Linked DNA regions of Alligator mississippiensis. The protein of the gene in region 2 interacts with the protein of the main gene of each other region in a biochemical or structural test. Links are inferred from orthologs where the notes say so. Each region holds a gene or a part of one and is shown on either strand. Other genes may lie near its edges. The genes, in order: DR1 and DRAP1.

Region 1 (15,595 bases), on a different chromosome or scaffold from region 2:
TCTTCCATGAGATAAGTTTCTAATGGTTCTGTTTTTGCCTTCAGGTATTTTGTTTAATGATGTATATGCTGCATCTAAGTTTGCTGTGGAAGGATTCTGTGAAAGTTTAGCCATACAGGCACTCCAATTTAAACTTCGGTAAGAATTGATTCGGAGATGTGGATGGATTTCAGACTATACTTTAAAATATATCATGAGTTATAATTGGTAGTTGTGCAGCAACAGCAGTTTTATAGTGGGCTCTTAGCCAGGAAAAAAAGGATAAAGAATTTTTCTTTAACTGACCTTGTGGAAGGTATTCATGTACAAAAATGCACTGAAACCTCCTTGCATAAGCTCCTTGCCTTCCCCACTAAAGTACCGAAAATGTTTATATGGCAATGTAAAGCTACCTTTAGACTGGACAGCATAGGTACTTTGAAAATATGCGTAGTTTATGTGCACATCCCTGGGAACATGCACTCTCAATCTACAGTATTACAGGGATGTTGTTATAGACATGCAATATGTTTGCCTCAGTATATTTTATCTAGTCTTTGTGCTCATTTATGAGAACTCCCAGGAGAGGCTTAAATTAAAATAATTCTTTAACATTTTTATATGTAATACAGGTATGTACAACCATTTCCATAGCATTCAGTAGGAATTGATCAAGATAGTGAGGGAGATAGCTACAAGTCAAGGACACAGGATAGCAAAAATTATATAGAGAAAAAGGGTGTGGTGTACATGGCAGGGCCTAATTTTTTAAATATAGCTACCCTTTTATTTTAATGTTATTGTTTAAAGAGTTAATAAGATGTGTATGTGTAAGTAGTTAACTTGTATGCAAGAGCAGCATTGAGCAGACTGCAATTTGGGGGTTCTGCTTTACAATTAATAGCATGATACAGCCTAAAAATTAGGGTGAAGTATAGGTATTCCTTATCATGTAACACAGAACTGGAATTACTAAGGATCTGCTGTTGCAAAGATCCTGTTCAAAGAGGAAGTAAGTACGTTTTGTGAACAGAGAGGTAAAAAAACAGTTTTGTAAACTGAGATGCTTAAAAAACAGATTGGAACTGGAGAAGGAAGTGGTTTAATGACTTAATGTAGTTTTGAAATTTGCTGTTATGGATCTCTGGGCAAAAAATGACCTCCTCCAGCAAGCCCATCAACAGCAAAAGTCTGTGCAGATGTGCTAAGTATTTATACAGTTCTTAGTATTGCACTATAAAGTGCTTCATAAGGCACTTTATACTGTACCAGAGACTCAGACCAAAGAGACTCAGCTTTTGAGTTCTTTCCTTCTCTCTTTCCTTCTTTCCTTTCTGCCTTTCTTGCTTTACTTCTGCTCTTATTAGCATGTGAAACTCTGATGAAAAGGTCATTTATAATTTTGTCCAGAAGACAGTGAAGTTTATGGTTGTCCTTAGCTTTTTGTTGCAGAGTCCAACAGTTGTGAGGCAGCACAACCCTCCTTCCTTGGCCAGCCTGGAACACGTGTTTCCTACCCCTCTAGCCAGTCTGGAATGTGCACGCCACATGTGGCACAATCGCAGACTGGGCAGGCACATGGCACAAATCCTGGACAGGCTGGAGGTGGGTGCCATAGGTGCCACATGTCCCAGAGTGGGTACCACATGTATTGAACATCCTGGACTGGCCACAGCAGGTGCTGCATGTGGTGCACTTTCTGGGCCCTGCATGTAGAGCTGGTGTGGTGGTGTGTGGATCACCCGAGACCCAGTGGCAGCACTGGGATCTGGCCTATGGGCCATCTTTGACATTGTTTGTCTATAAGAATGGTAGAGTTGCATGTTTCCCACATAGGAAAAAAACACTAATATAGTTTTGTTTCTGGAATAGGCTAAGTTTGATTGAACCAGGACCTGTGATCACAGAATTTGAAAAAAAGGTGTATGAAGATGGAATGAAAATGGACCTTTCGGCTGCAGATGAAGAAACAGCTCGTATGTTTGCTGATGTTTACCTTAAAAATTACAATCAGATTTTTCAAAGCCTGGGACAAAGTGCTGAGGAAGTTGCAGAGGTATTCACTGGTATTACTTTGTACAATATAAGAATCCTGTAGTTGTTTGCTTATAGAACTATACTTAATTGCAAAATTATTAGATTTAGAATTTAGAAAAAGCGTAAAATTCTTCAGGTTTTAAAAAGTAAGTATGACTTAATCTTTAATACTATTAAATAGAGAACTGTAACAACTCATCTCATGAAACCTTGTGGATTACAGTGTCACCTGGAGTCGAGATGAGATTTCTGTCACTGAGGGACTGGTATATTCTGTGGCTTATGTAGAGCTTTAGAGCAAGTCAATCTCTGCCTGAGATCTGTCCATAGAGGGGAAAAGTTGACACCATCAGGGAAACTAGAGGTTTAAAAATTGTGCTTTGCTCATGGTGTCATAGAATTCAAAGCAAAAATTCATCTAGATGATGATGGACAGCTTTAAAACAAGAGTACATCTTTAATACACAAAATACTAATTCAGGCCATGGTCCTGCCTTAGAAGAGTCCGTACTCCCATGCTTCACCATTTACTTCAGTAAGGCGCTACATGGGTGCATAGGTCTGTCTACATAAAGAGTTGCAACATCAGGAAGCCTGCAGGGTCCCGCTAACTTACTGTTGACCTTACAGACTATGATTCTTAATGATTTTTAGTAGGGCTGTCAGTTAATCATAGTTAATGTACTTGATTAACACAAAACAAATTAACGCATTAATTTTTGTAATGAGCATTAATCACACGCATCCATTTTGACCAGGGGTGGGCAAAATATGGCCTGTCCCACACCTTCTTCGGACTTGGCCTGGTGAAGCAGACCAGCTTTGGACCAACCGGAACGCATTTGCACAGCCCTGACCTCGGCCCACCCTGCACCTGCTCCAGGCCGCCCACCCACTCTGAGCAGAGGCAGCAGCCAGGCAGAAGCTGCTGCTCAGCTCGAGGGAAAAGCGACTCTTCCCCCTGCCTGCTGCTGGGCCCTTCTTGCTGCAGCTGCCCAGAGCCTATGCCCGGGCTGCCCTGCGGCTTCTCTCTGCCACTGTCACTGCTGCCTCCAGCCCACACATCAGGCCAGTGGTGGAAGTGCAGAGGAGCAGTAGGGCAGCCTGTGTGGGCAGGTGCAGCAAGAAGGGTCTGGCAGCGCTGAAGGGGAGGGGTCGCTGTTTCCCTGCACCGAACAGAAGCTTCTGCCTGGCCGCTGCCACTGCTCAGTGTGGGCCGGTGAGTCTGGAGCAGGCACAGGGTGGGCAGGGGTCAGGGCTGTTTACACAAGTTCCAGCTGGCCTGCTCTGGCCAGCAAAAGTCCAGAGTGGGCATGGGGCAGGCCAGGGTTGGGGCTGTTGGTGGTGGTGAGGGAGAAGCCGCAGGGCACAGGGGCTCCAGGCTGTTGGGTGGTGGGGGTTGGGGGGTGGTGCTGACTATTGCTTAACTGTGTGATCAAAATTGTGATTAATTGCAACTATTTTTTTTAATCTTGCAATTAATTATTCATTTTTTTTAATGGTTTCTCATCCCTAGTTTCTAGCTTTAGCATGTTGCTCTTCCCAGTTAAATTACCGGAGCACTGACTTCCATGGGATGAGAGTTAGATCCTCACTGTGCACATCTGAAAATCCCACACACAGTATATTTTAAAAAACTGTACTTGTTTTAAATAGAATAAGGCCCCCAAATTGCACAGCAGTCAGTATACTGTGTGTAAACTGGCAAATATGAAGTGTCAGGCCCTCTTTACATGCTTCAGGTATCTTGTATGTAGCTAGTTGACCTTGAGACCAGCTACACATGCAAAGTACCTATCATACTATAAAAAGCTTCAACCTGCTATAAAGTTAGACACAGGGATCCGGAGTCCTGCAGCTGTGGAAGCTGAAACCCAGCTGGGTCCCAAAGCCAGGGGATGCAGGTGCCTTGGGGGTGTGTTCAACTCCTGGGGCTGGGGGATCACAGCTGCTGCCATCTCTCAGCCTCTGGGGTTCATGAAACGCCTGGGGCTGGGGGATTGCAAGTTATAATCCCCTAGCTCTGATGGTGCATGGGATGCCACCACAGCTGGGAGCCCCTAAACTGAGGGGGCTCCCATCTGCCACAGCTTGCTTCTTGTTGGTGCAGGGGGAGCCTAGGATTGGATTCCCTCTGTACCAGCAGTAAGGGATGATGGGACCTAATGCACAATCCCAGAATCACACCTCCTGCCATGCACATGTGCAGGTAAAGGTGTAAAGGTTTAATTGCTTATTAAATCCTGTCACACCTTTACCTGCACATGTACAGGGGCCCTCATTCTCACATTTGATACGACATATAGTATCTGAATTAAGAATTTTTGCCTCAGCCTTCATTTTTACTAATTTCACATTTTGTTCACCCAAATGACATGACTCAACAACTCATATTGGTATAGATCAGTTAACAAGTCTGAAAATGTAGTTGATACATACAGCCCAGTTGCAGAGAGATCCCTGATGAGAGATACTGATTTTCATGTACTCTGCCACTGATCTCGAACTAAGTAGATTTTTTATATTTTTGTGTAGTAAAACAATTGACGATATTATCTTTTAAAATTGGAAAATAAAACTATGCTACTTGGCCTCAAAAGGAAACAAGTTTATATAGTTTCCAAATAATACTAAGCAAAAGCCTTAATGCATTTTAACCACATTCAAATATGGTCATATTTCCCAGGGGAAATTGGAAAACTCTAATGCTTGCTCTACCATTCTGCTTGGTGAAAACCAGACTTTTACATGTTTACTTTGATAAATGATATTTTGTAGTTATGGTCCCATTTCTCATTTTTACAGCACACGGTAAAGATAATTCTTACAGAAAATCCACCCTTTCGCCATCAGACCAACACCTTGTATACCCCAGTAACAACTCTGAAATATGCTGATCCAAACGGAAATCTACCTATTGATAGCTTCTACAAAATGGTTTTTCATCATGACAGAATCTTCCATGCAAGTCTTAACTTTTTCAAACTGCTGAGATGGAGCAGTAGAAAGAACATTGCATCTATTTAGTTGATATATCAACATTGGCTTATTTTGAATTTAAAGTTCCCAGACCAGTATTTTGAAGATAAATGCTCTTGCCAGATCTGTTGTTAATAATTTTGGTTATCTTCTTTATGTACAGTTGTGCCTCGTAAAAATATTAGACTTATGACTATCAATATTTTGAATGTCTGTAGTCAACATTTATTGGAATTAAAAGTGAAACCTCCTGAGAGCAGTACAAAAAAATCTTATTTGTAGAACCTTATTGTAATATATAAGTGCTTTGCTAATAGTCTCAGGGGTTTAGGTTGTAGCCGTGTTGGTCTAAGGACATAGGCAGACAAGGTTCCTTGGGTGAATTTGGTATCTTTTATTAGACCAACCCAAATAGTTGGAGAATATTTATTAAGCAAGCTTTCGGATTCAAAAACTCTTCGTCAGGCTAAGGAAGTTTCAGCAGTTGGTGTGTGCTCTTCCTAGTGATTCTTGAATCACCTACTACCACCTAGCTCTCTAATACTGTATTTTAGAGTGTTAGAACAAGCTTGTTGTTAATAATATAAAAGATGTACAGATTTTTAAAATTGTCTTAAAATATAGTAACTGGAAAGTTTAAACAACTGATGTGTGTTTTAGTTTTTGTATAAATAAAAGAACATTGAATGTGTTATTTTTTTAAATGATGCTGCTACTCCTAAAGGGTCAAATTCAGCTTTGATATAATTTAGTAGGAGTCAGTGCAATTATCACAGAAATTAATTTGACCCAAGAAGCTTAAACACAATGCTTTGTGTATTTATAATCACTTTTTTATAATATCTTATGGTTATTTCCTTTTTTTATTAGGAATACATCAATATAATGAAGATTTTCCAAGCTGGCACCTAAAACTGGAGACTCTTAAAAATCCATATTTAGTTTTCTAGATAAATGCATTTAGATTTTCAAAAGCGCTGAATACATGCATCTCCCACTGACTTAATTGGGAACTTAAGTTGTTCTCTGTATTTGAAAACAAGACTCTTTTTACCTAGGTGTTTAAATATAGGTTTAGCAACCTACAGTTTCAGGCACCCAGATTTGAAAATGCTGGTCCTCAGCTGTCCTACATTTACTGCTATATTTGAATACCTGTAGTAGTCTGTTAAATTATGCCAGTTCCACTGACTAGTTCTGACACATCCTTGGGTTCCGCATACAAAGTCAGGTTTTCTTGTTTTATTTTTACACCTTGGCTACATTGTTAGTTTTTGAAAGGCGATATTTAGAATCTAAAGCATGTTCCTCAACAAACTGGAATTTTGAAGTTGGGTAAATTTTAAAAGTAATTTCCTATAGAGTGCTCTCTTAGACTTCCATAAAATTCAGCTTCCTGTACAAACTCCTACCATTTGCTTTTATGTGATTGGGCTCTTGTGGATTAACAGTGGTGGTGATTCTCTTTTGATTTTTCCCCAGCTATCACTGATCAAGGAGTCTTGCAGAAGAGACTCCTGGCCCTGGGCCTTATGTGATAGCGAGGGGCCAGTTTTCTGGCCTCTTAAATACAATGTCCTGGGTTCCAGATGCTGCTGTATCATGGGCAGTAACCACTGTCGAGTCTCACAGGGCAAACACTTGGCCTCAGGCTCTATATAGTACAGGCTATAGGCCTGCTGTTGGCGGGCTGTAAATTCAAGTCTCTTCTCTGTGGTGCCTTGCCTGGATGAAGTGCTGTCCCATCTGTGACCGTGACTTTCTTTTCTGCCCACCTGAACAGAGTGGGATCCATCTCCCAAATCTGCCTGACTGCTGCCACAGCAGGAATGCACCACGTTGTAGGGCCTGGTTTGCAGCCACAAGCCTCCTCAGAGGTGTGGGGGCCACAAGCCAGGCTTCCCCTTGCCCCCCCATTTGGGGTCTCTTCAAACTATAAGGGTGGAATGCTGTATTATTGGAGGAGTCTAAAATTATTCTGTGAGTTGCCTAGATGGTGCCTTGTGGCTGGGGCTTGGTTTGCTCCCCTGGGATCTTACCAGTCCAAGTGGATGTGCTGGGAGGTCCTAGCAAAGATCCATAGACGTGGCATACCAAATTGCTTGTTGATCACCCAAGCACAGAGTCCTGAGTTCAGCTCAACTGTGTTCCTTTCTCCTCCCCCTCTCCCTCTTTCCTGGCCAGTAGGGTTTTTTTTCCTTTAATTTGAATTTTCCCCAGTCCCTTGAGTTATCACTAGTCAAGGAGACGCCTAGTCCTGGGCTTGCTGGCTTCCTGACCACAAGGTCCTGAGTTGTGGATTCCACTGTGACTTGACCATACTAGGCACCTTAAAACTAGCATGTCCATGGCACGTTGGCTTCTTCAACCTGGCTGACAACCCATCTGGGAGAAGGAAAATTCCCAAAATTCAGTCTCACTCCCTGGCACACAATATCTGTTGATTGGTGATAATGTCCCCATTTAAAATTGTGACCATTGTCACAGACCAAATTAAATATAGCTCCAAATCTGGATCAGATGCGAGAGATATTGACATATTCCCAAGCATCTTGCAGTTATCCTTTAGAAGAGGAAGAGATCAAGCCTGTGCAGTAGGCCCCACAGCTGCAGTTAAAAAAGCAAGTGGAAGAGTGAGTAATGAGAACTGGTACAATAAATGCTGAAAGCATTGCAGGCAGGAGAGAAATAGTAAACCTCTTGGAAATAAGGAATGGGCAAGCAGGTTGATTATAATAAACACAAGGGAAGGATAGTAGTGTAAGAGAACAAGGAGCAGGATATAGGATCTTCTCTAATGCAGAAGAGAGTTGGAGTAATATTGCATGGCAGCCTTAAAGGCAGTGTGACTGAGTTCCCAAGTGACAGATTGATGGCAGCTAAGTTTGTGATGCCGGAAGGAATGTTGAACATATGCGCAAAACAAGGGGGCTGCAGAGAAGAAGAGAAAAAGGCTGCAAGAGTGCCTCTAGAATCCAATAAGAGCAATGAGAAACTGGATGTGAATGGACGTTAGAAAAAGAAATGAAGGGTTTAAAGTAATGTTGGAGGAATGAGTAGGGAGTGAGGAACAAGGATGGAGAGAAGATACTGGAAATGGCTGAAAACTTGAATATGTTCATTGCTAATACTGCATACGTGTGCTAATTGTCACTTACACAAATGGTCAGAACAAAAGTCAAATTGTTCTGGTCTTGGGAGCAGGTATAAGATGTGCAAAACAGATTCCCTAAAAGTATACTGGTGTGGTGCTGCTCATGGGAAATGCACTAAAGTAAATAACGTCACTTTGTCGACAACGCTCCCATTCTCGATCTCTCAATTACATGCAACAGAAATCTAGAAGTTTGTCATAGTGAAAGTCATAGCCAACAAATGTTTCAGCTTTATGCTTTTTTAAAATACAGTGCAAACTGTTTGCCAAAAATGCCTTTAAGTTGGAACAAACACTCATAGCATCAGTTTACTGAAAAGGTTTTCTAAAAGGTAAGTTCCCCAGGGAAATTCCTGAGAGTAGTGCCTAGAAAGCTAGGTTCAGTGTGGTCCTGGTAGGAAAATACTGTATTCCTTGATATCATGCATCTAAAAACTGGGGCAGCTAACAGTACTGTTTACGGCCGGGGCATCCAAGTCCCTGGGCTACGAGGCTCTTTCCAGGCAGGAGCCACAGGGCCAGCAGCAGCTACAGCAGGTCCAAGGGCAGCAGCAGCAGAACAAGCAGGGTTGTTAGCACAGCTCTCCGCACCCTCCCACCTGCGGTGGCCATGTCCAGCCCCGGGCAGGGCCCTGCCGGCTACCCTGGCTGCCACCAGGTCCTTTGAAGGGTGCGCGGACAGGCGATGGGTGAAGACGAGCATTTGCGGCCAGCTCAGGCTCGTTCCCGCCTGGACGAGGCCCCACCCTGCAGGGCCCAGAGGCCAGCGGGGGCTGCTCGGAGTCAGCGGCGCCGAGCTGTGCCGCAGGCCCCGTCGCTGCGCCCGGGGGCGGGGGGGTTTGGCGGGCGGGACCCGGGACGGAGCCGAGCGCCCGAGGAGCTTCCTGCTACGCGGCGCCCGCTCCCGCCACCCGCTGCTCCCAGCCGCTCCGCGGAGCCTCACAGCCCGACCCCGAGCCCAGCGGGCGGGGGCTGCCCCCACTTCCGGGCCGCGGCACAGGGGATCCCGGAAGCGGAAGTAGCCGTGTCCGGCTTCCGGCGGAAGTGGCGCTCTCGCAGGCTGTGCCCCGCGTTATCGCGTTTCCCTCTCGCGGCCGCTCTCAGCTCGGGGTGTCGCCGCCGCCAGCTGAGCCGAGCGCGGGCTCTTCTGCCGCCGTCTGCCCCGGGCCCTGGTCATAAGGCGGCGGCGGCGGCCGGCATGGCCCGAGCGCCCGGCGGTGGTGCGTGAAGGATGTGGTGGCGGCAGCAGCTGCGGGAGCCCTGAGCGCGCCCGGCCCCCGGGCGGCCGGTCGGTCCCGGAGCCGCGAGCGCCCCGCGCTGGATGTGAGGAGCGAGCTGCCGCGGGGTCGGAGCGCGGGAGCGAGCGAGCGAGCATGGCTTCGTCGTCCGGCAACGACGACGACCTGACTATCCCCCGGGCCGCCATCAACAAGATGATCAAGGAAACTCTCCCCAACGTGCGCGTGGCCAACGACGCCCGCGAGCTGGTGGTGAACTGCTGCACCGAGTTCATCCACCTCATCTCCTCGGAGGCCAACGAGATCTGCAACAAGTCGGAGAAGAAAACCATTTCCCCTGAGCATGTCATCCAAGGTGGGCGCCCGTGGCTTCGCTCCCGCGGGGGCCAGGGTGGGGCAGGCTGCCGGGAAGCAGAGGTCTCGTTACTCTGCCCTGCAGAGGCGGTGGGGCTGAGGTGACAGATATAGAAGCCGTGGCAGTCCAAAGTCAAATAGAAGCCGGGCAGGTCCGCACCTTCTAGACCAGTGGCTTTCAACCTTTTTCATACCAGGACCCATTTGTAAACATCCGTGGCCAGTCCTACTCTGGACCTGCTCTCACCAGCCCCCCTGTGTGTGGGGCAGGGGGTCCCCAAAGCAGCCCCTGGAGCTCTGCCAGCCTGCAAGGGAAGAGCCCCCCTTCCCCATGTTTTTCTCGCTTAAAGGAGAATCCATTTTTAAAGTTTGTTTCTAGCTGTTTCACATGTTCTTGCGACCCGCAGGTTGAGAAATGCTGTTCTAGGCCAGCCAAAGAGGACAGATACATATAGCAGTCCAAGCTTTCAGGAGCTGAAGCTTGCCCTCCCTCCGGGGCTGATGAAACCATAGTGGGGATTTCTCCCTTCCAGGCTCTGTTTTGTGTCTCGCTTCCTGGAATGCCTGGGCCAGGTGCCGAATCCTCCTGTATGCATGAGGTGAAGATGATCTTGGCCAGCAGCCATGCAGGCTGCTGCTCCCCCATCTTCCTCACAATGATTTGAGATCCAGTAATTGGTCTGAGGTTGCATCAGAAATGGGGGACAGGGGGATGACGCAGGGTTTTCAGTGAGGTCCAGGTCTTTCATTTCTGGATGAGAGTCCAGTCTAAGTGATGTAGTGAGGAGGGTTCTGGGATTCTGACCAAGCTGTCCTTGGACCAGCTTGGCAATTTCTGTATTAATTTCTGGTGTAGTAAGTGTGTCAATTAGAAATGTGCCCTTGTGTTCTCTGACATTTGGTTCCTACCCCATGTGGCTGCTGAAAATGAGTTTTTCTAGGATCATTTGTCCTCTTTTGACTACTTCCATAGCTGCTACATGCTCTCCTGTCTTCAAGGATGATGCTAATTAGGGTGGCTGTTTCGTAAATTACCACAAGTTTTGACAGTTTCATTACTGCCCACAGAGATATGAGGAGTAATAGTGAAAGTGAGTAGAGTTTTAGTTTTACTCTGCTACTGCTTGACAAAATTGTGAATGGCAGCAGCATAACCAGAGTGTTATCTCCAAGTCCAGAAAGACAACCAAACCATGCATTTGTAGCAGTTCCTTTTGAAAGCTGATTTATGAAGTATTAATGAATAATTGAAATAATCTAGATTATGATGGTTTTTACCAACTCAAGTCACTGAAAAGCTTTCCGTTTGCAATTTTTAAATGGATTTTTCACGTCCAAATTATGGTGAGCAGGTGAATTAAACTTTGTTGCAATAAACAAATCTTTGAAACTATACTTTGTGGTAGCATTGCCTGGAACTTGGACTCTAGAAAGTAAAACTCATACTTAGAATGTGTGTGATACTTCTTGTATGCTTTTGTGCTGATACATATAGTTGCCTCAAGTAGTCAACAAAGGGACCAGCACCATTTTTAAACTAGGAATAGTAGTGAGGATTAAGAAGCAAGACCAAGTGAAATCGGGAAATTGAATTGGGAAAGGCTGAAGAGTGGGTAAGATTGATCCTGTGGACAGATTTAATTTAAAATCATACTAATTAGTTTACCTTTTGTGCACAGTGATTATTTTTGGTAGGAAGTATATTCAAGGGGTTTGTATGAGGTTGGATACTAAAGTGAAGTGATGCACACAAGCATGTCTGTAAAGTATTGTCCCTGGTGTTTTATTTCATTTTATTTTTTTAAATAAAAAAAAACTTTAATTCCCAACTATCACACTTAGGGCCTGTTAAATATGGTAAGGAGGGTTTTATTGCCATAGAATTTCATATTATTCTTATTTTCCTTTTTTTGTTGTCCTTATTTACTCTTCAGAAGTGCGGGTGATGGTGGTAGTTTCACCTGTTCCTCCCATCCCTGAATCAGAAGGGTTTATGTCATTAAAGAAAATAATGTAACTTTTCTATAAGTGGCATATAATTACAGTATTTTCTGTTCCCCATAATTAAAGTGTTTGGGTTTTTTGTTTCTTCTGCCTTACATTGAGTTTTCTACAATAACTGACAACATTATTTGAAATTTTAGAAAGGTCTGATCAATTTTTTGTAAAACAAAACAACCCCCTGCCACCCCACCCAAAAAAACCAAACCCTGTTTTTATCTTATGGTACTGATGTGCTCCAGTAATTCTGGCATGTCTTCACATTCTGTTTGGATTTACTGCTTAAACCAATTTACTTGATACTGTAAAGAGGCTTGACTACCCTTATTTTGAGGCTCAGCCCTTCTGTTCTTTTAAAGAAGATGCCATGTTTGCTTTCCCCCCTAGTTCTAATATAGTAGCTAATTTTAATGAGAACCTGCATTACTGCTGCTGTTAGTAGCAGTTCAGTCTCTTTCACATCTCTCAAATCCATTAAACAGCAGTTGTAAAGTTTTCCTTCTGAATTTTATCACTGTTCTAGCACCACTTGTGAGACGCTCTAACTTCTTCCAGCTTAATTTGTCAAAAGAGATGATCTGTGGTAGGTCTACCTTTTCTTGCAGTAAACACTGGTGCACAGAAATCATCTGAGGTCTCAGCAAGGTCTTTATCCTTGATTACTCCTTGTGTTCACTTCTAATACAAAGGACTGTCCACTTCTGTAATCTTTCTTTTCCTGTATATTTATATAATTCCTTGGGGTTTTTTATGTTTGTTGTTTCCTCTTCAAAATTTCTCTTATCCTTAATCTTACCTGCCACAATTTGATCTCTTATTTGTTGCTTTGCTCAGATTAGGTTTCAGTTTTCTGAAAGTTACTTCTTAAACCAGAAACGTATTATCTTTTGCACGGCTATGTTCTGTTTCTAGCTGGGCTGCTTTATTTGTTCATGTGCCTGTGTCTTTGTTTTAAGCGGTTTACATTTAGAGTAATTTATTTTAATTACCTTCTGGGTATTTTGCAGGCTTTTTTTCTGAAGTTCAGTAGAACAGTGCTAAATTTTGGCATGATTCCTTTCAAATCAAGTTTAGTCTTTCTTTGAATTAATGGACGTAATGTTTAAGTTTTTGAGGGGCAAGATGCTGCAACTGGATCTTTGCAGGCAGACTCACTGAAAATCAATAGCAAATGTACTTATATTGTACTCTGCTTAATGCTGATAATGTAACTTCTTGATCTCAATATGCTGAGGTAATACTAAAATGTATCCTGTTGTGTAACAAATCAACTTGGAATTTGTGCGAGTCTCTACATACACTAAAACACTTGTTTGGAGGATTTCATTATTTATTTCTTAATGTAAATAGTGTATGGCATAGGCAGTATCTAAGATGCAAGTCCACAGTTGACATGTCCTATTTATTCCTTTCAATTTATTAAAGTGCCACAAAGCCAAAGGTGTGCTGTACACAGATAAAAGATTAAATACATTAAAAAGTGTCTCAGACGGCTGGAGCCGACTTGAGGAGGATCACTGATTACTCAGCCGTCAGGCGGGCTGGTGGATGGAGAGGCGGGACATAGCGTATTGGTTGCAAAATAACTTTTACTTTAACTTTACTTACGCCGCTGGTGGCCGCGACGCAGGTGGTAAGGTTGCTTACGTAGTTACAGGTAACGAGTTGCTTGCATAGTTACAGGTAACTGGAAACAAAACGAGCCGGCGAGTTTGTAGACAGAAACGAGCATGCAGGATGAAGGATACATCGGGAACAGATGGTGACAGGGAGATGTTGGAGGATGGCCAGTCTGCCAGCTTTTCTCTGCCACGTGGCAAAGTTCTCCGTACTCTACCACGTGCTCAGAGCTCTCCAACTTGGGCGGAAGCTGCACGGATTTTTATACATTTAGAGTAGCCAATAACAGACTGCCAGGTGGGAATAGCTAATGAGGCAGAATGTACCAAATTTGCGGTTATTCAGGGCAGTTGTGTTGTGACAGGGGCACTCAACTCATTTGGTTATGACATGCCCCCTTGACCATGTCACAATAGACAAGGGAATTAGGTTACAAGTAATTTTCGTCTAGGAACTCGTCGTCTTTGCAAGGTTCAAGTGGTAAATGGGTATATACGTAAGCAGATAGCTTAATGAATCACTTTTTAACAAACTGGAAAATACAACAACCCATACATACAACAATGGCTATTACGATTAATGGTAAACACAAGGTAATGAGGGGAGTTAGTAAATGCATTAACCAAGATGACGTGTCCCATCCCATCCAGCCGAAAATGTCGGCTAACCATCCCTTTCCGATCCCAGCGACGTTGTTGGTGTCTGCGGCAGTTTGTTTTATGTGGTCGAGCTGATCTTCTAATGGAATAGTAATGTTGGGTATGCTAATACAACAGTGTTCCTTAGACAGGTTAAGGAATTGACACACGCCTCCCAGATGTAGTAACATCGCGTCGAGGGCTAAGCAGTTTTGCATGGTCATGTGCGATGTAGCCTGTAATTGATGGTTTAATAACTGCAGGGATGTTTTGGTACTATTGGCTAGAAGCTCAACTTGTTCAGCTAACTTGGCAATAGCGACTCTCGCCTTGCCTATCCCTATTCCCCACGCAAAATAACCTTCAAGCGCCCACACGAATTTTTGGTTGAATTTCTCTTTGTCCGTTAACTCTCTCCACACCGGAGCGTGTCGCTTATGGCGACGAAGTACGGCCGGACTACTCGGGTGAGATGTGTCAACACTTAAGGGGGGGCAAAGCATTACTGTACTCAAAAAGCATTGGACGCCCGTTAAGGCGGCCGGGAGGTTAGTGTAAAGCTGCCTGTCCGAACAAGCCCATAGCAGCCCTAAAGGGGCCGGCGTACTAATTAATGCACAGCTTTGACCTTTCCAATTAATTAAAGCTACCTCGCGAGGGAGATCAACCGTGTTGGCGAGCGCATCGTAGCCGTGGCACCACTGACTGAGTCTGGCCACCCTTAAGATGGGGTAAAAATACGAGCACCAGTCTTGGGCATCCGATACATTGATGGCTAGCGACCTGTTCCAAGAGACTAGAGATCGGGGCCGCTGAAGGATGGATGGAACCAGGCCAGACTCATCTCGTGTCCTTGTTTTGTTCGGGCCTGGGGGAAGGGCTAGCTACCATGTTGGAGTAATGGCTGTGGGGTTCCAGGTTAACGAATTATCGTCCCTCGACTACTTTACTCCTTCTGGGTTAATCCCCCATGGTATCTCTGAACACGCGATGTTATAGAAGAGCAGGACGGGGGCAGGCGGAAACATAGCCTCCGATCTGCAGACAGAGTGGTTCATGTTAGGTAGGGTCAAGTTACGTGGCCAAGAATACCGGTAATAGATGGCATGTTGGCGTCGTTGGTATGTAAAACTATGTTGGGCTACCGTGATATTGGGGTTCGGATTGGTGTTCTGGGCTTTAAACCACTTATCAACATTAAGAGGGTATACAAACGGGGTTAACACGGGGTCGTTAACAGAAAGGGGTAGGCGTAAGCATGCGGTGAGTCCTGACTCGCTACTGTCTCCCGTGATGTTGGCCCAGAGTGATAAAAGGGACAGGACCAAGTTAGAGGTTGCGAAGTCAGTTCCATTCACCGAGGAACCCGTTGGGAACACCAGAAGCATGACGATGATCCTGTTCACAACATGTGAGTAAGTGGCCGTTACTGTGTCGACCCGAATGTGCTACAGTGGATCTCGTGATCGAGCAGCTATAGACTGCTGCTTCGTCACTGCTGGGCCTGTGAGGAAACAAGAAAAGAAAAGGGAACCGTAATCGGGTTCGCTATAAGGAAACTGGGTGACCGGCGGAGCGGCGAGTCAGCCAGTTGT
Region 2 (16,420 bases):
ACAACACAGGCCTAGACTCCCCGCCCCTCCCCAAGCATCCCTCCCACCTCTCCTTGAGCCCCCATGGCAGAGCTCCCAGCTCCCTGGGCGTCTCCCCCTGCTCCGACAGCGACGTCCCTTCCAGATCTGTGCCACCAACCTGCGCGCTCCTGGCCACGTCATAGCGGACGCAGGTGGCGAAGTGCTGGCAGTTCTGCTCCACCAGGTCGTAGGGGAACGGCTGCCCCAGCTGCCGCCTGGCTCGGGCCATGATTTCCCGCTGGGGGAAGGCCTGCAGCTCCCCATTGTGGAGGTTCCTCACGCGGTACCGGGCTCCAGCCCCCACGACTTCCAGCGGCTCCTTCTGCACCTCCACACCCAGGGGGGTCTCTGCACATCGCCATGGGCAGAAGGAATTGGGCGAGGCCCCTTTAAACACCCCCACCAGCCGAGTCCCCCTGACACTGGAAACCTCCACCTCTCTCCCCTTGCTCTTCCAGGCTGCACCTCACCGTCACCTCCCAGGATCGAGGGTCCGGGCAGCCTCCCCTCCCTGGCTGCAGAAAAGGGGGGCTGGTTGGGGGGGGGGGGGGATTCACCCTCTCCTTCCCCCTGCAGCTTCTCCAGCACCCGGGTCTGCCTGGGAGTGGGGTCCAATCCCCCTACCCAGGACCCCAGCAGCCGCCCCAGCGCTCACTGGCCACGTGGACGACACACTTGGGTCGGGTGAAGCCGAGGAACCTCCAAAAGGGATCCAGGAGCCCGGGCTGGGGAGAGGGAGGAGAGCAGAGCAGGGCTGGAGCCTGGGCACGCACCCATGTGCAGAGAAGCCAGGTGCCCGAGGGACACGCACACACATACACAGAACCCAGGCCTCCGGGACCCCTGCCTTGCCCCCCAAATCCAGGCATCTGGCACCACACACACAGTCCAGTGCCACCCCACGCCCCCGCCCAGAACCCAGGTGTCTGGCTCATGGCGCCTTCGCATCCCCCCCCGAGGTCCCCAGGTCTAGCAGGTGCTACGCCAACCCCTTGCCTGTCCTGCTTCCCACGATGCCACCCGCTGGGCCCAGCCCCCCACCCCCCCACCCCCTCACCTCATCCTCTCCCACGTAGACCCCCCAGTGCTTGTAGCCAGCGCGGTCGAACTCGAGGAGGTCTCCAGGCTGCGGCTCCGGCTGCCCAGACAGAAGCTCAGGAGAGTTGGGGGTGCAAGGCTGGCTCCAGCCACACTGGGGGCTTGGGGCCATCGAATGGGGTCCTAGAGGGGCTTGGGGGGAGCTCAGGGGTCTCATCCAGGCCCACCTGCTGCCCCAGGCAGGATCAGGCCTGTCCAAGACATCAGGAGACCCCCCCCTACCCCCAACAGCGGCAGAACATCTCCAGCCGGAGAGGGCCTCTGGTGCCCCTGCCCACGGCTGGCGAGGGCAGACCCGAAGGAAGCCAGCGCGATCTCCAGGTACTCACCCCCTCCAGAGGCATGGTGCTAGGGGGTGGGGGCTGCTCCGGTGGGTCTCTCCCAGCCCCTGCAGACGCAAGAGCAGCAGATTTCAGTGCTGGTTTCCCGCCGAATCCTCTAACCTCTGTGTGAGGAGCCACTAAGGAGGCCTGGCCTGTCCGAGGTGCGGGGTGAGGAAGGCTTGATCCCAAGGGGTGACGGGACAGTCCACAGGGCTTGACAACCGACCTTCTCCAACCAGAACCAGGGGCCGGCCATGAAGGGAGGTCGTTAGTTTAAACGAGCACCAGGAAGCTCCTTCTCCCCCAGCGTCTAGCGAAAGCACGGGGCTCACGGCCACCAGACACGGAGGCAGCTGAGGGTGCGGCCAGATCCGCCACGGGACCGGACCCCTACTCGGGGGGGGGGGGGCCCTGGCCAGAGCGTCCAGGGCCACGGGTCCGTGGAGAAGCTGCCCACTGAGGTGCCTGGTGTCTGGGTGCCGTGGGACACAGGAGAGGGGGTCGGCGCCGGCGGCGGGGTGGGACTTGGCTGCGGTGTCTGGGGCTGCGGGGGGCAGGGGCAGGGCGCGTCGGGGCATCCAGCTGAATGTGTGCATGTGGACTGCCCCCCTCCCCGGGACAGACACGCAGAACCCAGGCATCCGCATCATGCACGCACGCCCTACACATTCAGGGGACGGACAGACCCCAGGAGTCTGGGGCAGACACACAGCCCCCTCACCCCCCCACAGGTGAGGCCAGGCCCTATGGATTGCCCCTGGAGGGGGTGGCCCTGGGGTCCCCCCCAATAGGTGTCATCTGCAGGGCTGGGGGGTCCATAGCTCCCCCTGTGGGAGCCGTCGTGCCCCGCACACCCACGTGCCGCCACCTGCCGGCTTCCGCGTCCCGCCGTGCATGCGCGGGGCTACCGCAAGCCCCTTAGCAACCGCGCATGCGCAAAACACCCGTCGCCTTTCCGGCTCGGCGCATGCGCAAAGACCACGCAGCCTCTTCAACTAGACGCAAGCGCCAGACCCACAGCGGGAGGAGTGGCGATGCTTTCCTGTAGCGGATGGAGCGTAAGCTGCGCTCCCATTGGCCGGCGCCGCAGCCAATGAGGTGGCAGTGGGCAACCCGGAAGTAGCCCACGTGCGGGGCAGGGGGGAAGCGGCCGCAGCTGCACCAGAGGGGCGGGCAGTAGGCGCCCCCCGAGAGGGGTCAGGCGGGCTGGAGGAGGCGACGGGGAGTAGGGGCAGCACGGGCGCGGACAGTGAGTGGCGCCAGCCGCTGGCTTCAAACCGGACCTTTATTGAGTCAATACAAAACCCCCCGCAGGGGCTGGAGGTCCCCGATCCGCCCCCAGGCTCCCCCCCCGCCCCCACAGCTGGAAGGGGGGTAAGCAGCGCCCCCAGCCCCGGGTCCCCCCCCCCCCCACTTGAGGGGCTGCCTGTCTGCTATGAGCCATGGATCCCAGGGGGTCCCTCCCTATGCCCTGCTCCCCTCCCCCCTCCCTGCCAGGGGGGCTGCGTCTATTCGGGATCCCCCCACCCTCCCCTCAGGGTGCCTCTGCTGTAGGGGATCCCCTATCCCTGATGCCCCTCCCCCCCACCCATAGGGGGCTCTTTCTACAAGGGGTCCTGCCTGGCCCCCACCCACAATGCACAGGGTGGAGAGCCTGAGGGGACCCACTCCATGCCCTCCCTGCCCTGCAAAAGGGGTCTCTGTCTACCACCCCACGGCCCGTTGTTGCCCCCCCACCCCCACTTCTGTCTAGGAGAGTGCCCCTCCTATTCTCACCCCCCCCTTCCCCAGGCCCTGGAGAGAAGCAGCTGCTTCCAGCCACCGTGACCTGTGGCGAGAAGGGGAGGGGGGGATCCCCAAGATGCAAGACTGGGGACACACTCTGGGCTGGGCTGGTGTGAAATGGGGGGAGGGGGGAAGAACAGGGCAACCCAGGCTCTGAGATCTGGGGGTTCAACCCCCCAGGGAACCCCTAAAATGATCAGCCATGGGGAGGGAAGGGGGAAATCCGACTCCATAATTACACGTAAGATCCACTTGCCCCCCTCCCCCCAATGCAGCATCTAAAAGGGACCCCGGGGGGCTACGAGTCGTAGTCTTCGTCTTCCTCGTCCTGGGTGGGGGCAGGGGGCAGGGGCGCTGGCGGCGTCATGGTGGGCAGGGCCGCAGGCACAGCCAGGCCCATGGTCATCCCAGGAGGCGCAGCGGGCGCGAAGGGCAGGTATGGTGCTGGTGAGCTGAGGGGATGGGGACAGAAAAAAGATGGGGGCAGATAGGCCAGTCCTAGGCCCACCCCCAGCCTCCCCCCACACAGAGAAGGGGAGAGAACCCAGGCATCTGGGCATCCAACACCCCAGCCCCCCCCCAGCTGAAGAGACCCCAGGTATCCTGGCTCCCAGCGCCCGCCCCCGCATGCCACGCCTGGAGAGAATCCAGGCTCCGGGTCAGTACCTGGGGAACGTGGCGGGGGGGCGGCTGGGGGGCAGCGTCTGCAACGTCTCCTCCTCAGCGTCGCTCTCGCTGTCCTCCGAGTCCTCCTAGAGGGAGATAGGCAGATCACGGGGAGCCTGCCCCCCACCCCCCGGGCACACATCTGGAGGGGTGGCGCTCCCCAGAGCTGGGTGCTGGGGGCACCGAGGGCCAAGGCAGGGGAGGGGCTCATCCCCAGGGACGCAGCACAGGTGTGAGAGAGGTGTGGGGAACCCAGGTGTCTGGGAGCCCATCCCCCCAGCTCTCACCCCCCTCTCACAGCTGGAGTGAACCCCGGTGTCTGGGCTCTCAGGCTTGCCCCCTGGCTCCCACTGCCCTCATCCCGGTGCCCAGGAGTTTCCCCTGCCTGGCCACCCTCGCCTCACCTCTTGCTCCGAGTCAGTGCCCGACTGCTTAGGGTCCTTGCCCTTGGCCCCTGTCCCGCCGTTCTTCCTCCCGCTGCCCGGCTTCCGGCCCCTGCATAGACCCACCAGGCATCAGAGTCCCTTGCCGAGCCCCCCCCACAGGTTGAATCCCAGTAGGTGCAGTCAAATTGCAGCCACCTCTGGGGTGCAGCATGGCAGGTCTCAGAATTTGGGGCAATGGAGCCCCTGGTAGCCCAGATGAACCCCCCACCCAGGGTATTGGGGCCTAAAAGGAGAGAGCCCCCCTGCAGCACCCCCTACTGCCAGGGCATTGGCACCCAGTCTCCCATCCACAAAGTGATCCCAGCTGATCCTGCTTAGCTTCCAAGGGGTGTCAGGTGCTAGATGGGGAAAGTGTCCCCGAGCAGGGGCAGTGGTGGTCTCCCATCCACACACAGACCCTCTTCAACCCTGCTTAGCTTTCCAGGGGCAACAAGGGCTGGTGGAGCTAAAGCACCCCCTCCTCATTGGCTCCACCCCCACTAGCTCCACCCCTTACACCCAGCACCCCCTTCTGGCCCTGCCCCTCCAGAGCTGGCTCCACCCCTGCAGCCCAGCCTCTCCCACTAGCCCTGCCCCCCCAGACCTGGCTCCACCCCCTCACTACCCAGCACTCCCTGCTGGCCCTGCCCTGCACTGACCCCCACCTGCGGGAGACCCGCTCGCCCTCCATGTGGTTGTCCTCAGCGTCCCCCTGCATGTCGGGCACGGAGGCCACCAGGTCCTTGAGGAAGTCAAACTGCTGCTCCAGCTCGATGCACTGCTTCCTGCAGGGGGAGGGGCAGGGGGTCAGAGGGGGCAGGGCCAAGCCACAACCCACCCCTCCCCCCAACCCATCACATCCCCAAGGTCTCCCACAGCCCCCAGCAGGATACTTCCCCCTGCCAGGGAGATTCACAGCCCCTGCCAGGCCCCTCCAGCCCATGTTGATTGAAAGTGGGGAAACTGAGGCACAGAAGCCAGGTTGGGACTGTCCAGAGGGGACACGGTGAGGCAGGGGGAGAGCTCCCAGACCCCTCCCGCCCCTTGCTCTAATCCCTCAGCACAGCCATTCTCAGCCTTTTTTGTACCAGGACCCATTTCTACACTTCAGCGGCCAGCCCCAACCCGCTCCCCCACGCCCCGGCCCCCAGTGCGTGGGGCAGAGGGCCCAAGTAGCCCCTTGCAGGCTGGAGCTCTGCCCGCCTGCAAGGGAAGAGCCGCGGTGCCCACATTTATCTCCATTAAAGGAGAATTCACTTTCAAGTTTGTTCTTTCGTATGTTCTTGCGACCCACTTCTGGGTCGTAACCCCCAGATTGAGAAACGTTGCCCTGGAACCCACCCCTCCCCGAGCTGGAGGAAACCCAGGGATGCGGGCTCCCAGCCCCCCCGCTTTCACCCCCAGCCCACTCCCCTTCCAGAGCAGGGAGAGAGCCCAGATCCCTCCCACGCCTTGTTCTAATCCCCTAGACCCCAGTCCCCTCCTGGAGCGGGCAGATCACCCAGGTGCCCAGGGGACGGGACCCGGGGCACTCACAGGTGGGACGTGGTCATGGTCTTGGCGTTCCTGGACTGCGTCACTTGACAGGCCTTCCTGAGCAGCGACTCCAGGAACAGCTCCAGTGCCCGGGCTGTGGCAAGGCAGGGGTTAAGGGAGAGACCCCAGGTGTCCGGGCTCCAGCCCCTACTGCCCTCCCCGAGTCCAAGAGAAGCCAGGCATCCGCCCGGTCCCTCAGCCCCCGCTCCCCTCCCAGACCCTGAGAGAACCCAGGCAGGCGTCCAGGCGTTGCCAAGGATACAGATGATGACGGGGACAGCAGCCGCCACCTTCCCGATCTCCTCGTCCGTCTGCATGATCTTCTTGATCCGCGCCTGGGGGTGGGAACAGGTCAAGAGCTGGGGGGGCAGCCTGAGCTAGAGCCCCCCAGGATCAGGCCCAGATCAGGGCTATTTCTCCCCTCCTCCCACTCCCCTCCCAGAGCCGACAGAGGTCCCAGACATCCACGTGCCCGGCATCCCAGCTCTCCACCTTTTCGCATGGCCGAGCTGGGGATCAAACCCAGGCAGCCGGGCTCCTAGACTCCCCTGCTCTGATCCACTGGGCCCCACGCCCCCCCAGCACCGGGGGGCTCCCAGATGCCTCTACGCTACGCCCCCCACGGACCTCCTCTCCCCGTGCCCCCACCCCAGACTCAGCTGCAATCCCCCATGCCTCCTCTGCCCCCTCCCACAGCCGGAGACAACCCAGGTGTCCCGGCTCCCACCCCTCTCCCCCCAGCCCCCCCCCAGAGCCCCAGACAACCCAGGCGTCGGGCGCTGGACCCGGCCCTAGGAAGGAGTCCAGGCTGCCGGGCCCGAGCCTCCACGAGGAACCGGGGTGTCCGGCTGCCAAACCCCCAGTGTCGGGAAGGGACCCGGGCGCCAGGCCCTGGCCCCAGAAAGGGCCCCAGGCAGCTGGGTGCCGGGAAGGGGCCCAGGCATGCGGGCCAGGCCCTCGTCTTCAAAGGAGCCCAGGGGGCCGCGTACCCGCCCGGCCCCACAGATACCCCGGGGCCAGCCCCGGAGGAGGGAAGGGCCCGGGGGAGGCTGCGAGGTCCGAGGTCACAGGCCCTGGGGCGAGGGGGGCGAGGGCGGAAGGTCGGGGTCACAGGGAAGGGGGCCAGAGGGGCGCAGGCTCCGGGGGATGGGCGGGGCGGGGCGGGGCCGGCTAGGGCGGGGTCAGGGGTCACAGGCGGTTGGGGTCAGGGTGGCCGGGGGGGGGGGACGACCCGGAAAGGAACCGAGGCGTCCGGGGGGGGGCCCAGGGAGGGGCCCAGGCGCGACCACCCGGCGCCCGAGGGGCCCCGCCGTCCGGGCTGCAGCCCCCACCCGCCAGGATGGGGAAGGGCCCCAGGCGCCGGGCCAGGCTCACCGGCGGGAACCGCGCGTTGTATTTCTTCTTCTTGCTCGGCATCGCGGCCCGCTGCGCCCCGCGCCCGCCCGGTCCTAGCGCCGCCCGCCGGCCTGGCCCCGCCCCCTACCCCGCGCCCGCCCGGTCCTAGCGCCGCCCGCCCAGCCTGGCCCCGCCCCCTGCCCCGCGCCCTAGCACCGCCCATCCCAGCCTGGCCCCGCCCCCTGCCCCGCGCCCGCCCTGTCCCAACACTGCCTTCCCGGCTCGCCCCGCACCCGGCCTGGGGACGCCCCGCCCCTACCCCCACACCGGGCTCCCCCAGCCGCCAGGGAGGGCCCCGCCCCTAGTCTCGCTGACTCCGCCCCGCGCTGTCCAGGTACCTCCCGCAACCTTCGAGCCGGGCCCCGCCCCCGGAGGCCCCGCCCTTTCATTGCAGCCCCTCCCCTCCCCCTCCTCTCCCGGAAGTCCTCCCCTCCCGAGCAGCTCCTTTCCGCCTCTGTCCAGACGTAACTTCCTGCTTCACCCTCCGTGCACCTCCGTGTCGGCTTCTGCCATTTCCGGTTTCCCCCGTCCGACCCCCCCCGTTGCCTCCCCCCGGGCTCGGCCCCGCCCCCTCCCTCAAGATGGCGGCGGCCGCGGGCCGCTGAGAGGGGCCAGGTGAGGGCGGGGGCTCGTATTAGGGGAGGGGCTGGGGGGGCCTGGCACGGGGGCGGGGCAGCGACTGGGGGAGGGGGCCTGGCACATGGGGCTGGGGGGGCTCCTATGGGGGGGGGGGCTGGGGGCGCGGGGCCGGCTGATCATGGGGCTGGGGGGCACGTCGGGGGCACCTGGTGCTGGGCAGGGCCCCGTACTGGGCGGCCTCAACCTGCCTCCTCTCTCCCCCAGGGCAGCACCAGGCAGCAGCCCCCTGCCCCGGCTCCCTTCTTCTGCCGCAGGTAAGGCGGCCCCCGTGGCAGGGGCAGAACGGGTCCCTCCACGGCTGAGTGCCCTGGGGTGGAGGCAGCTGGGGGGAGCGGGTTGATTGCCCCGGGTGGGGGGGCAGAATCAGAAGCCGTTGGGGGTGGGAGGGCTTCTCCGCAGGGCAGGGGGTAAAAGAGCCCTCACCTTCCCGCTCCCTGAGCCCCAGCCCAGCCCAGCTCTCTGGGGCTACTTGCCGGGCAGAGAGCTGCCGGGCAGAGATGACCCGAGCAGGGTGCGGGGCCCTGCCCCTGCTTCGCTCCCGTGGGCCCCGGACCCAAAGAGGCTGGTGGGGTGCAGCGAGCGGCTGGACGCAGAGCTGCTGCTCCATGGGGGCCCCGAAATCATGGGGCCCAGGGCAGTTGCCTCTGTTCACCTCCCCCTAGGGACAGCCCTGCTGCTAGCCAATTAATAGCTCGGTTAATTGGCTTGTGGATTCCCCCGACCAACGCTAAACGTACAACCGAGGAGCTAGCCCTGTGCTGTAAGTTAATTAACCAGCCCCCTTCCCAATCGCAACTGATTAGCTGCCTGCACCCTAAATTAATTAACCATCCCCCTCCAATTGGAGCTGTTTAGCCTGCCCGCTTGTACTATCCTCGGGCTAATTAAGCAGCCTTCCCCTAACGGTAGCTCCCAAAACAGTCAGGCTCTTCAGTCAGCTTAGCCCACCCGCCTGTGCTGATTAGCTGCTCCTGTGCAAAGTTGAAGAGCCCCTTGATGGAGTGAATTAGCCCCAAACCTAGGGCAATTACTGAAAATAAACCCCTTTGACCAGGTAATTAGCCTGCCTGTCCTATGTGAAGCTGATGAGCCTTTCAACCTGCCAGTTAGCCCACCTGCACCATACCTGAATTAGCTTGCCCTCCCTAATTGAAACTAATTGGCCTGCCTGCCCCCTGCTTAAGGTAATTAGTTTGGCCCCTGCCAAACAAGGGAGCCTCTTCCTCAGAATTAATTAGTCTGCCTGCCTCTTACCTAAGCTAATTAGCCTGACCAGTGCAAAGCTAGAGCCCCTTTCTCAGAGCTAATTACCTTGCCCGCTCCTCACCCTAACAAGCTTGTCACTCCAAACTAATTAGCCCACCTGCCTCCCAGCCTTCCCATAAGGCAGCTGTGACACCTGACCTTTTCCCATACCTCCCCCCTACCTTCCCCCGCATTGGCAGGTGCCTGCTCCAGGACCCAGCAGCTATGTCAGACCAGGATGAGGGCGACGGGGGCCGGGATGGCCCCTTCTCAGCTGAGCAGCTGGCGGCCGAGTCAATGGCAGCCGACATGGACCCGTGGGTGGTGTTTGATGCCCGGCGCACCCCTCGGGCCGAGTTTGAGGCATGGCTGGCCACCTACCCGCCCTCCCGTGTGGCCCGCTATGGCCCACGGCCCGTGGGCTGGATTGCCGTGTATGGTCCCGGCTACAGTCCTGAGGCGGGTGACGTGGTGGGCTTGCAGGAGGCGTGGGAGCGGCTGCAGCTGAGCGGCCGCTCCGTGACCCACACCACAGTGCGGGAGCTGGCCCTCAACCACGGCGTGCTCACGGGCAAGTGGCTCATCCACCTGGACACAGGCTTCAAGGTGGACCACGCCTGGGCTGGTGTGGCCCGGGCCGTGCTGGACGGGCGCTTCACTGTGGCCAAGGTGAGCCCCTGCCACCCTGATGGTGAACGGCGCCACGTGGTGTGTGTCTACACGGATGACTTCACAGATGAGGAGCATGTGCTAGCTGCCGACGCTGCCATCCGGGCTGCTGGCGTCAAGTGCCCGCTGGCCTACAAGCCCGATGTCTACACCTACCTGGGCATCTACCGCGACAACCGCTGGCGCCTCTGCCCTACCATCTACGAGAGCCGCTTCGACCTGGAGTGCGTGCCCCGGCGCTCCCGCGTCCTCAACAAGGTTACCAATGCCGAGGTCACTTAAGCATTGTGGGGGGGCCCGGCCCCCCCCTTTGACTGTTCACCCCCCTGTCCCTGGACTGGAGTAATGGGGTGAGGCTCTGTGTCCCAGCATGCACTGCTCCTGTGGAGGGGGTGGGGGTCTTGTCCCCTTCTGCCTATCTTGGACTATCTGCCTCCCTGGACTGGAGCTGTGGGGCTGAGGTTATTTATCCCAGCATGCACTGCTTCTGTGTGGGGTGTAGGGTCTTGCCCCTCCCTTAGATTGTCTGCCCCCCTCACCTGAAGTGGGAGTGAGGCTACATGTCACAGCATGCACTGCTTGGGGGGGGGGGGGGTTTCTGGCCCTGCCTGGACTGGAGCAGTGTGTCCCACCATGCATTGCTCCTGTGGGGTCTGATTCCCCTGAATTGGAGCTGTGCGGCTGAGGTCCTGTATCCCAGTATTACACTGCTTCCTTAGGTGAGGAGGGGCTAGTAGGCATGCCCCCATGCACAGGCTGGGCTGGGGCTGGGGTGGAGACTACAAGTCCCAGCATGCACTACTTCCCTGGCTCAGGGCCTGCTGGGAAGTGTGGTCCAGGAGCTCTGGCAGCTTAACTCTCTCATGGCCCTGTACTGGAGGGGCTCTGCCCCCCACTTCACCCCACCCACTGTTTTTAAAGTGCCACAGCTCTTTGCCCCCTAGCAGGGGCTCTTTCTCAAGGTGCTGCCCCTTTCATGCAGAGCCCTGCAGTGAGGCTGGTGCAGTGGCCCTTTAAAGCTCCAAGAGGTCACAAAGCTCAATAAAAATGACTCCTTTCCAGCCAATCAGCAGCTCTTGACTCCCTCTGGCTCCTCCTCTTCCCCCCCCCCACCCAAGGCTTTTGCAGACCCCTGGCTCTGGGGTACTAGAGGGGACATCCCAGACTAGGGCCCAAGGGATTTAGGCACCTACATGTCTCCAAGCCTGCCTCTGCCGGGTCATGGCAGCCCGAGGAGGAAGGGATCTGAGTCTCCCCTCCACCTCCTTCCAGACCCGTGTCCTGGCTCCCAGCCTCCCCTGCTCTTGCCCTACCCCAGCATCCACTCCCCTCCCAGGCCCGGGAGAGAACCCAGGCGTCCTGCCTCTACCCCCTCACCCCCGTCCCATCTCGGCCACAGGCCCTTGAAATCCCCTGCCCCAGACTGGTCCCACTAAGCAGAGACAGCCCCCTCCCCCCGGGGTCATCCCCAGTCTGGGCGCAGCAGGGAGACGCCAGCCCAGGATCCGCATTTGACTCGGGTTTATTAGCGGCATAAAAATAAGCTTTAAATCTGTCCCCCCCACCCCTGGTACGGTGGGTCAGGTGAGAATACAGGCCAGGCAGCTCGGCACCCCTGGGGTTAACTCCCCCCTCCCCCCAACTCAGCCATATACAAGTAATGGAAGTCAAAATGGGGGGGCCTAAAGCTAGCCCCCCCCAACAAGGCACAAAGCATTAAAATGCAAAGGGGAGGGGGAGTATTATGGCCCCAAAAACTGCCCCCCCCCAGGGCAAAGGAGACCAGTTGCCCTGCCATGTACAGTGTGGGGTACAATGGCAGGAAGGGGTTAATGCTTGTCTTCTAAGGCAGGTTCCCTCCCCCCATAACCAAAGCAAGCCTCCGATTGGCTGCTCTATGCCCTGCCTTCTAGGGAAGGGCAGCCAATTGCAGTATCATCTGCTCCCCCCCAGGAAGTGGGAGAGTCCACTGCCTCATTAAGGGCGGAGCCACATGGTTCCTCCCCCCTCCAAGAAGAATGAGTCCACCCACTCACCCCCTCTTCAAGCTAATGACCAATGGGCCTGCCCACTCCCTCCCCGCACCGATGAGCCAGTCCATGTTCCAAAACTAGCAGAGCCTCCTGCCATGCAGGGGAGCAAGTGGGCAGACCACTGCTCCCCCCCATCCAGAGAATAGGCCAGCCCACTCTCCTCCCCAGGGAGAGCAATGGGCCAATCCACTCTCCCCCCAAGAAAACAATGGTTCAGTCTGATCTCTCCCCCAGCAACTAGTTCAGTCCACTCTGACCCCCCCACCTGTAACCAGTAGTCCAGTCCACTATGGTTCTCCTCCCCCTGCACACAATAGTGCAGTCCACTTACCCCTTTCCAGCCTCCCCAGCCCCTGGGAGGGTGGGGTAGTTCATTACCCAGAGGTGGGAATTGGGGGGGGGGGGGGTGTGAGAGTCCAAGAGTTCCAGCCCCCAGCAGGGGCAATTGTGCTCTCATCACCCTGTTCTTACCCCATCTGGGGTGGGGGGCAATTCCAGAGTCCAAGGGGGGGCAATTCCAGAATCCAGCCCCCCCACTCAAGGCAACTGAGCTCTCACCCCCATCTGGAGTGGAGGGGGGCAATTCCAGAGTCCAGCCCCCCAGCAGGGGCAATGGAGGCCTCAAGCCCCCATCCTTCAGCTCCCTCTGGGGTGGGGCAGTTCAGCCCCCAGCTCCGCACGTGATGGGAAGTGGGGGCAACTTCAGAGTCCAGGGAAGGGGCAGTGCAGCTCCCAACCCCTCTCTGTTGCCCCCACGTGCGGGTGGGGGGGGCAACAGAGTCCCTCTGCCCCCCGGCCCAGCCTGGAGCCTAGGACGACCCGAGCTGGCTGAGCAGCGCTGACAGGTCCAGGTCGCCCATGGAGGGCAGCATCTCGTCGCCCAGCGCCCCGTTGACAAAGCTGCTGGTGCTTGGGTCCTCGCCGTCCGGCGCCCCCCGCTGGCTGTTCACCAGGCGCGTGATGGACTCGGGGTAGGAGAGCAGCATGGGGGGGCCGGGCTCTGTGGTGCCCCCCCCCGGCTGCCCCTGCAGCAGCTGCCGAAACTCGGCCGTGTTGATGGCCTCCAGGCTGGTGTAGGTCACGTCGTCCACCAGCGCGTCCAGGTCCAGGCCCCCCGGCCCGTCCGCATTGCCCTCGAACTGCAGCTGCAGCAGCGCGTCGGCCAGGTGGGTCTCCGCCTCGCCGGGGGGCCGCGGCGACAGCCCCAGGCTGGAGAACTCCTCCAGGTTCACTGTGCTGAAGGTGTTGACAGGGGGCGGGCCCATGGCTGCCATAGAGGCGGGGGGCAGGGCCTGCAGCGGCGGCGGGCCCCGGGGTACAGCGGCGGCGAAGGGGAAGGCACTGGGGGGCTTCAGTTGGGGCTGGGGCAGCGGGGCTGGGGCTCCGCCCATGCCTGGAAGAACTGGAGGGAGGGAGGGAGGGGGAAGAGGCAGAGTCAAAGCCTGGAGGCGGGGTCAGAGCAGCGCCCCCAGCCCAGGATCAGGCCTCCACCCTTGTGTCCCCCTGACCTCCCCAGCCAGTTTCACAGCTCAGGGCCAACCTCTGAACCAGCCATGGCAGGATCAGGCCCCCCTTTCCCACCCCCCTCAGGATCCGGGCCCCCTGCCGCAGCCCTGAGCTTCAGGGACCCCCCCCACCAAGGATTGGGCCCTCCTGCCCCCCTCCACACCCCAGCCACTGCCCCCAGATCAAGACCCTTCTGCCCCCTCCCCCTACTTTGCCAAGGATTGGGCAGGATCAAGGGCCCCCAAGTGTGCCCCCCACAACCCCCCTTACCACTCGGGCCAGGCTGTGCAGAGCTGGGCTTGGGGGCCCCCATGGCCGGGCGCGCGGGGACGGCGATGCGCCGCGGGTGCCGTGGCTCCTGGCTCACCGCGGCTGGGCGCAGAGAGAAGCAGGTCACTAATTACCCCCAGCCCCTCCCCCCATAGTTGCCAGTCCAGACACCCTCAGCCCCACCCCCACAACCCTGTAGGCCACTCCTCCAATGACCCCTCTCCCTAAGCTCCTCCCCTTCAGACCCCCAGCCCTGGCATTCAGCTACCCCCCCACCTAAGCCCCACCCCAGCCAAGTGCCCCACCCTCAGGGACTCCACCCCTTTCCTCAGCCCCACCCCCTCATCCAGGAGTCCCTCCCCTTTCCCTAAACCCAGCCCCTAGGGACTCCACCCCTTCCCCTAGACCCAGCCCCTGGCAAGGAGCCCCTTCCCTTTCCCCAAGCCCTGCCTCTAGCCAGGAGTTCCTCCCATTTCCCAAGCCCCACCCCCAGCCATGAGCACCTCCCCTTTCCCAAGCCCTGCCCCCAACCAAGTGCCACTCCCCTCCCCCCCCAGCCCCACCCCCAGGCAGAAGCCCCCCACCCGGACTCCTCCCCTTTCTACAGCCTGCTCCAGGGAGAAGCCCCTCCCCTTTCCCCAACCCCACCCACCTGCAAAGGGGGTCTTCTGCACAAAACTCTTGAAGGTGTCGCGGGTTCGCTTCCGCTTCTCCTCGATGCAGTGGAAGTCACCTGGGGCGGGGAGGGCGTTTAGGGGGCCACCCCAGAGCAGACACCCCAGGCCAGGATCGGGCCCGGAGCATAGGCCCCCCGGTGCAGCCAGCTCTGGGCTCTCCACGTAACGCCCCCTTGCCCCACGGTACCTTCCTCGGGCAGGTAGCGGAACTCCATGGGCTCGCTGACCTCGCGGTCGGACGGGCGCCGCAGCTGCATGTGCACCGTGACAGGCTCGCGCAGCGCCTGGTCGGCGTAGGGCGGTGTCTTGAACACGATGGCGACCTGGCGGTGCACGTCGGCCTGCGAGAAGGAGCCACGCGCCTCCCACGTATCCCGGAAGAACCGCACCTCGATGTCCTCTGGAGGGGGAAGGAGTGAGGGCGGGAACCCCCAGGCTCACAGAGCCCCTGCTTCATCCCCACTCCCCTCTCAGCCCCAGGCCTCCGTCCCCCTCCAGAGAACCCAGGGGACCCGGCGCACTGTGCCTGCTCAGCCCACTCCCCTCCCCACACCGGGGGGAGTCCAGGCGTCCGGGGTGACTCACCCTTCTGCACCTTGTCGCAGAGCAGGAAGATCTCCTCGCCCCCCCGGCAGCTCCCCGAGTTACGATTCACCCGGCAGATCTTCAACTCCGCCGTGTTGGGGGCCCCTGGGGGCGGGGCACAGGTCAGGACCCCCCAGCTCTAGCCCCACCCCCTGGTCCAGTAGCCCCACCCTCTGGCCCAATAGCCCCAGCCCAGGAAAGCCTACCCTCCTCCCCTGCCCCAACACCTACACCAGCCCACCCCCATCCTATTTAGCCCCACCCTAACCTTCTAGCCATGCCCACTCCTGCCCCAAGCCCCACCCCCTGGGTCTCAGACCACCCCATCCATCTCTGTCCCAACTAACTCTAGTTCCTCCCCCACCAGCTCCAGCCCCACCCCCAGGCCTCCTAGCCCCGCCCCCCAGGCTCACGGTTGTCGTAGATAGGCTGGGAGACAACGAGGGGCAAGAGCATGAGGTGCCCAGTGCCGGCTGGATCCTGCACCCACACCTGGAAGCAGAGGCGCACGGCGTTCAGGTCGTACTCGCCCTTCTCCTCCAGTGACACTGTGGGGGCAAGGACACATGGGTGAGGCCCTGCCCTCTGTGGATAGGCCCCGCCTCTCAGTTAGGCCCCCCCCACCATGGGCAGACTCATCAGCAGGGATCCTGGTTATCCCACTTTTGTGCGCAGGGTGGGGGCTCCCTGCCCTGCTGTGCCCCCCAGCACCTGGCAGCCAGGGCAGGGCAGAGTGGGGCGGGCGAGCTCGGTCTGCTGCTGCTGGGAGCCCCGCACCGCCATGGCAAGGCACCCCCTGCCCCCCAGCAGCAGCAGGGGGCAGAGCAGAGGGCACCTTGCCGCAGCAGCGCTGAGCTTCCCAGCCCCGCTCTGCCCTGCCGTGCCCAGGGGGGAGGGCAGCAGGCCGGGGAGCCTGAACGCGCAGCTGCCCCCATGCCTCCTCCGGCAGCGTGCGCTACGGTGGGGGGCCGGCCCCACCCCCTACAATAAAACCCTGCGTCCCACTGACACCTGCACACGCAGGGGACTTCCATTTTAATCACAGATTTGGGGGTGGGGGGTGTTAATCAGAGAATCTGCCATTTTTAAACAGAGAAAACCAGGATTCCTGCTCATTAGCGCTGTAGAGGGGCAAGGACACATGGATGAGACAGCCCCCCATGCACATCAACAGGCCACCAGGGACAGATCCCACCCCCGGGGAGCCCCCCCACTCTGCAGTAAAAGGGGTGGGGCCTGGGCTCTATCTCCACCCCCAAGTAAAGCTCAAAGCTTCCTTCCAGTTAAAGGGGTAGGTAGAACCTCTGTTCTAACCCGTTCAAATTAAAGGGGCAGTGCCCAGGCTCAAACCTTTGCTCCCACAAGTTCCAGGGTCAGGACACAGGCTCCGAAGCACCCCCATGCATGCCCAGTGCTCCCCCACTCACCATTGAAGGGGTTGTTGTTGGTGCGGATGCGCTGGGCCACAGCCTCTTCCAGTTCCCGTTTCTTCACGCACTGGATGCCCAGGTTCTGGAAGCTGCAGGGCAGGGAGGGGGTTACTGTGT

What was found.
Region 1: the proteins of DRAP1 (region 2) and DR1 form a complex in vitro, tested with the Homo sapiens proteins (2 studies listed by BioGRID). The link is inferred for Alligator mississippiensis from reciprocal best matches to the Homo sapiens genes DRAP1 and DR1.

Annotation. Positions count from the first base shown.
Region 1 is NC_081828.1:33,506,779-33,522,373, forward strand, and holds the start of DR1 (protein Dr1), read left to right. Parts: upstream 1-9,187; 5' UTR 9,188-9,522; coding exon 9,523-9,742; intron 9,743-15,595. Other genes in the region: retinol dehydrogenase 8-like, read left to right, coding at 45-138, 1,852-2,035, 4,822-5,043. UniProt on the Homo sapiens protein: The association of the DR1/DRAP1 heterodimer with TBP results in a functional repression of both activated and basal transcription of class II genes.
Region 2 is NC_081838.1:4,269,648-4,286,067, reverse strand, and holds DRAP1 (dr1-associated corepressor), read right to left. Parts: upstream 7,339-16,420; 5' UTR 7,271-7,338; coding exon 7,229-7,270; intron 6,190-7,228; coding exon 6,117-6,189; intron 5,949-6,116; coding exon 5,855-5,948; intron 5,104-5,854; coding exon 4,978-5,103; intron 4,389-4,977; coding exon 4,298-4,388; intron 3,980-4,297; coding exon 3,894-3,979; intron 3,680-3,893; coding exon 3,526-3,679; 3' UTR 2,710-3,525; downstream 1-2,709. Other genes in the region: phospholipase A and acyltransferase 2, read right to left, coding at 140-369, 677-746, 1,079-1,276; C15H11orf68 (UPF0696 protein C11orf68 homolog), read left to right, coding at 9,359-10,084; RELA (transcription factor p65), read right to left, coding at 12,645-13,237, 13,612-13,713, 14,264-14,344, 14,476-14,688, 14,874-14,978, 15,287-15,421, 16,301-16,392. UniProt on the Homo sapiens protein: The association of the DR1/DRAP1 heterodimer with TBP results in a functional repression of both activated and basal transcription of class II genes.